2 separate regions of the Mus musculus genome follow, and region 1 is reported to be linked to region 2. The links are microRNA targets in miRTarBase. Many come from high-throughput screens and were not tested one by one. Region 2 holds a microRNA gene; the other region holds the end of a gene's coding sequence.

Region 1 (3,000 bases), not on the chromosome of region 2:
GTATCTCCTGAGGCAAATGTGGGGAACAATCTCTTTCCTACACCACCCATGGGGCAAGGGAGGAAAAAAATTCTTAGCTACTTCATCAATTGAGCTGATGTAAATCCTCCAAGGTAAACTGAAGACAACAAATGATTCCCCTTTGCAGCCCAGTGGGATCTTCAGGCTGACAATGGGAAACACTGGGCCAACAGAACAATGAAAACAAAGTTTGACATGAGTTCAAAGCTCAAAGGGGAACATCAAGTAGACACAGTAAGCATTTCCTATCACAAGCCAATCATAAAACATATATCGCATTTGGAAACGGCTTGGTTTAATTGAGTGCCTTCCATTACCCTGTTTTCCTAGCAATCAGTAAAGTAATCTTTCCATTAGAAGGAAATATGACTCTTGGAATTAATTCTTTATACAAAGAGCTAGCAGGAGTGACATTTACACCAAAAAGAACTGAGTCCCTGTAGCAGCATAATAAGCAGTCTACAGCTGTCTTCTCAGAACCAAAGGTAATTTGGTTCAATGTAGTTAAATTAATTGAATATAACAGTGGTTGAAAAAGAGATTCATTATTTTAAAGTCTTTTTGTTTTCCCCCAATGGCTTGGAATTCATCAATCATGAGGTGAGAAAGGCCCCTGTTTTCTGAAAGGCAAGACTAACACTACTGTGCTCTGATCATCCACTGGAGTTCTGAGGCATCCTGAAGATGACTCTCAATCCAGAACTTTGAGAGAGCATAAGGGACTAAAAATGACTCAAAAAAAAAAAAAAAAAAAAAAAAAAAAAAAAAAAAAAAAAAAAAAAGAAAAGAAAAGAAAAGAAAAGAAAAGAAAAGAAAAGAAAAAACAAACAAACAAACCCAGAAACCCAAACCAAAAGACCCAAGTTTCTACAAAGCGGTGTGTGTGTGTGTGTGTGTGTGTGTGTGTGTGTGTATGTGTGTGTGTCTGTGGGTGGCTGTGTCATCTGTGTGCATGTTCGTGCGTGTGTGTGGCTTAGACTAGTTCATACTAAAGACCTAGGCCTTCCAGGAACAGAGAGAACAAATAGCTTCTAACTCATGCCTTTCTGGTGCTTAATTTTGTAGGAAAGTAGGTGAAGAACCTGTATAGGTTGCCGTTCCATTCTATACATTTTAGTGGCTAAAAAATAACCAGTTTGAATAGAGGATGTCATTTATAACTGTGTAGGATAGAATTTTGGCATTGGGATATATTAGTCCCATAGACAAAAGATTTACTGTTTTCTAATCTGAATTTTTTCTATATTTTATAATATAGCATTTTGAAGTTGAAAAAACAGGCTCCCGCCTATTTTCTCATTTCTAACAAATTACCATGAGTATAATTTAGTGAATTTACTTCTTAACTTTGTATGCTCTATTTCTCTTTTTTTGTTGGGAAAATGGTTAGAAAATATCTACACAAAATGGGTACAAGGAACTTGTTTTATACTTCTAGTCAAATATTTCTAAAAACGTTGATGGTGGTGATAATCTATAGACTGAATTTTTTGTTGTCTTGAAGAAATTATAACCACCAAAGTGAAGTTTCATTCAGAATTGGATTCCAAATCCAATGTGGAGGAACCTCAATATTTTGTAATATGGTAATAAATAGACAATATCATTATCTGGTCTATAAAACAGGAAAGTGGCTTCAAATCCTTTTGGCTTCCCCTCTTCCCGGTATGTGCCATCTTGATGGGGCTTTGAAGTAATTGATAGAAATGGAGCTTTTAAAAGAACAATTATGTGTTACCCCGATTCTTTTGTAGATTTCCTTTTGCATGGGTCCTATCATGTTGTTATGGATGGATAAAAACTCTGGCTGGAAATGAAAACCCTGATTGTCTAACATAAAAGTAACATATAACAACAGCAAATCACATGAAAGCCTGACTGAACCTCCATTGCTAGTGGGCATGGTATTTTAAGCCACAGTGCATGAATACGTAATAGTCATATATAATACTCTTACATATTATATACTCATTACATACATGCACAGTACTTTCCAAGACAGTTAGTTACGAATTTGCACATGCATCAACTACCTAAAAACATAGAAATAGGTAAAGCCTAGTAAGTGGAATCGTCTTAAATTAGAGTCGAACAATCAATCAACGGGAAGAGTAATCATGGAAAGTACGGCTCTGTTTGTGTATATATCTACAATAAAATTCTATAAACAGTTGTCTCCAAAACATACCCGAATAAAATTAAAAAAGATAACACCCAGTGTCCTATATTTGTATATTTATGATCATTTCAAAAACAAACAAACAACAAACGAACAAACAAAAGAGCCCCACTCAGGTGCATATTTACATTCTTCAAACTGTAGCGGTGAAAAATATTTCTATTAAGTGCAGGACATTCCTAATGTTGCAGTAGTGACATTTTCCTTAAGTCCCCATGAACACATTGCTTTTGTCTTAACGGCGATGCATTCCATGACTCTGAGAGTTCTCGTCCCCTTCATTTGCAGACCGCAGCACAGTCAGGATTAAAGAGCTCCTTGTACAATGGAGGAAACAGTGTATTCACTATGTCTGGATGAGACTGCTTAAATACCTGCAGCTTCTCCCCATGCAAGTTGCAGACTGCCGTGATAGTTGGTATCTTGGCTATTAACTGCAGAACACAGAGACAGAGGGAGACAAAGAGGGAAGCTCGTTAGTGGACTGTCTTGTGAATTAGTGTCTTTTTGGGGACCCAGATAAAGGTAAATGGCTTTGGAAAAAGATGTTCAGAGAGAATGAAGGCTCACTTTCAGCTTCCCTTGAAAAGAAAACAAAAACATATTTCTCAGCCCATGGTAAGAAAAAAAAAAAAAAACAGAGAAGAGAAAGCAAGCAAGCCAGGAGGTCTAAGACTCCTGGTTCATTATTCTGAAATAAAATATGCAAAGGAGGCATTCTTGTTTCATGCTGGTGAGTGGGTGCTAAGCAGGCAAGTACTATGAACAGAATCCTGCTTCCTAAGAGTCAAAGACAGTGT
Region 2 (3,152 bases):
AGTCACCAACAGCAGAGTTTTCTGGGCCTGTGGGATGTCCTCGTAGAGCAAAGGGGTCGGTGGTCTCTTTGGACCACCTGGGTTCAGTGGCCTGGGCTGTGGAAGTAGCCGAAGTGGCCGGTTGATGGGCCCTAGGGCCCCCGCTGCTCTGAGGAATGTGGTGAATATAGCAGCTCACAGATATGGAAGGGAGTGAAAGGGCTAGGGTGTCATCAGGAAGCAGGGGCCACTGCATGGCCTTACACCAGGGTGCTCCCCTCTCTGAGTCACTGTGTGGTGACTTCTTGTAGGGCCACAGTTTTGTTGAAGAAACCTCAAAACCATCTTCATTCAACTGATCCCTATCAGATCAGAGTTGTAGTCTTAGTACAGTTTATTACAAGGGATGGGTATCGATTAAAATCAACAGTAGAAAAAGGACAAAGCACAGAATCTAAGCAAGACTAGGCACAGGTTCCTATTTGCCATTTCTCAATGGAGCTGCGTGCCCCTGCTCAATTCTCAGCAGCGGTATGTGAACAACACAGATGGAATTTGCCAGCTGGAAAACTTGCTAAGCTGGGTATCCATGGTTTTATTTTACTAGAACTTGATTATATGGAATTGGCAGATTTCTGTACCATGTGGCTGACTTTTTGTAATATCCAGCTGATAACTACATGTCCCAAGGCCACCATCACAAGTCATAGTAACAGAGCCTATCTGGCATTGCCCAAGGCTTTGTGTTAGTGAGGACTCTTTCCACAAGCAGGACATTCCAAAGAGACTATTAGAGTATGTAGGCTGTAGGTAGCCCAGGTCTCCTGCACTGAGCCTGCACTGTACACACCTTGGCTGCCAGTGAGCCCACTGAGCAGAGAGGTGTACTTGTATTGGTGGAAATGGGGTGCTTGACTTTTTTTATAGAGGCCAAGGACATAGTGTGAGCCCTCTGTCCAGTGACAGGTGGGTGTGAGATGTGGGTGCTCTGGGCTCTTTCTGCACTTGTAACCTCAAGAACCTTTTGGCATGGGTCCCAGTCCCCAGGCTGGAATCTACTATCATGGTCTCAGCCTTTGCTCACTGCTTTCCGAGGAACCCCCAGGACTGAGGCCCTGTGCTTAGCAGGCTGTCACCCTCCTCCCTTTCTACAAATGCCCAGAGGGTTTTTGGTTTTGTTTTCCATTTTATTGTTATGTATATGGGTGTTTTTCCTGAGTGTATGTCCATGTACCACATGTGTGCAGTGGACCAGGGAGCCCGGAAAAGGCATTGGACTCCCTGAAATTGGAGATACAGATGGTTGTGAGCCACCTTGTGCATGCAGGGAAATGAACCCAGGCCCTCTGAAGAGCAGCCAGTGCCCTTTTTTTGTTATTGTTTGTTTTTTGTTTTGTTTTGTTTTGTTTTTTGAGACAGGGTTTCTCTGTGTGGGCCTGGCTGTCCTGGAACTCACTCTGTAGACCAGGCTGGCCTCAAACTCAGAAATCCGCCTGCCTCTGCCTCCCAAGTGCTACGATTAAAGGCGTGCGCCACGCCCGACTCAGCCAGTGCTCTTAATTGCTGACTTATTTCTCCAGCTCTTCCAGGGAGTTTTATTTTTTTAATCTCTCACCATTGTAACTGACTAATCTGACCTCAAGCAATTCTACAGTTTTTATGACCCTGGTCACTCGGGCTTTTTTTGGACTGCCAAGAACAGAAATTCTACTGAAAACCCACTAGCTAATAATAAGCCCAGGAATAGCGAGGTAGAATTATCATGAAGAAATCCAGGCACATCTCTCCCCAGGACATGGCCCTCGGACACAGCCTTATGGCCTTTAAGGACCCCCTGTGGTACGAGCGCTCTGTTGTGGTCCCATGGGCCCTGCTGGTCCAGAGAGCATGGGAAGTATCTAGTGAGTTCAGGGGTGTGAACCCTGTGAGGTAGTTTTGACTATCACGTACCTACTTTCTCTGCAGTGTGCGATCAGAAGGCTAGGGAATGGCTAGGGTTTGCTCTCAGCCCACAGGTGAACAGGAGCAAGAAAGGGGCTAAAGAAGTGGCATAGCAGAAGGGACCTCACCAAGTCCCGAAAAGAGCATCAGACCCTCGGGTGCCGGTTGGAGATGCCTGGCATTCACAGGGGCTTGCCAGCCGCTTCCTGGGAAAACATCTGGGCTTAGGTAAAGGCAGGATCTGTTACGGGAGAGGTATATCAGGAAAAAGGTATGAGGAGTAATTTGCTGGCCAGAGACGGCAGAGGGACTGTGGGGCAGCGGGCCTGGCTTGAGTGGGGGGTGAGGGATTGGAGAGAAAGGCAGTTCCTGATGGTCCCCTCCCAGGGGCTGGCTTTCCTCTGGTCCTTCTCTCCCAATGACTGCGTCTTCATCGATGCTGCAACCCTGAGCTCTGGCAGCACCTCCAACTCCAGGCTGCCTGGAGACACATCGATGGCCTTCCTGTGGACCTTGGAGCCCTCCTCACATCTCCAACCTAGAGGGCTGGTCTGCTAGGGCCAGCTAGGATGGCAGGTCCTGCAGCTGAACTAGAGAAACACCCTTGATCTGGCTATGTCTGCTGATAGCTGCCTCTGCCAGAGGTCCTACCCAGTACAGCCTAGGGAGGACCAAAGGAGTCTAAGAGCCAAAGCCTCTTCCTGACACCAGCAGCTGATAGGAGGGGCATGTAGGTCCAATACCTCCCATAAAGACAGTTCTTTGCACTGCCTGTCTCATTAGCTGTGTCCAGTCCGGTCTTGAATTTATCATTGTTCTGTCACACACACACACACACCCCATAATGCTGTTGGCCTTCGTGGGCCCTATGGCGGTCATTTTTTGTTGTTGTTTTTTTTCAAGACAGGGTTTCTCTGTGTAGCCCTGGCTGTCCTGGAACTCACTCTGTAAACCAGGCTGGCCTCGAACTCAGAAACTGCCTCTGCCTCCCAAGTGCTGGGATTAAAGGCGAGTGCCACCACATTTGAAAAATGACCGGCGGCTGTCATTTTTCAAAGAACTTTGTAAAGATTCCTTTTTGTGCTTTGACCCCTGGTTTTCTCTCTTGCTTTTTCTATCCCATAGCTGTTTTCCTGACTGCTTTTCTTTTTCTAGAATGGCTAGTCTGTGATATGCATGTCAATCTTAATTAATTGCCAAGGTCACTGAATTTTAGGGTTCTTCACCCCACA

The links. The annotated mature microRNA mmu-miR-185-5p reads UGGAGAGAAAGGCAGUUCCUGA and lies in region 2 at 2,272-2,293, shown strand. An mRNA with a match to its seed (bases 2 to 7 or 8) in the 3' UTR can be bound and repressed. Matches are read on the target gene's strand: a 7mer-m8 pairs with bases 2 to 8, a 7mer-A1 pairs with bases 2 to 7 and ends in A, and an 8mer does both.
Region 1: miRTarBase lists Rorb as a target of mmu-miR-185-5p. The part of its 3' UTR that is shown has no 7-base or 8-base seed match.

The regions. Positions count from the first base shown.
Region 1 is chr19:18,935,402-18,938,401 of GRCm38, forward strand. Rorb (RAR-related orphan receptor beta) reads right to left here. Exons shown (of 10, transcript NM_001043354.2): 10 at 1-2,634. The coding sequence ends at 2,479. Among named protein-coding and RNA genes, the nearest start is that of Rorb, 170 kb to the right of the region's middle.
Region 2 is chr16:18,326,579-18,329,730 of GRCm38, reverse strand. It overlaps Mir185 (microRNA 185), which reads left to right and starts at 2,266; the gene lies at 2,266-2,330. All of the region lies in intron 1 of Tango2 (transport and golgi organization 2), which reads left to right.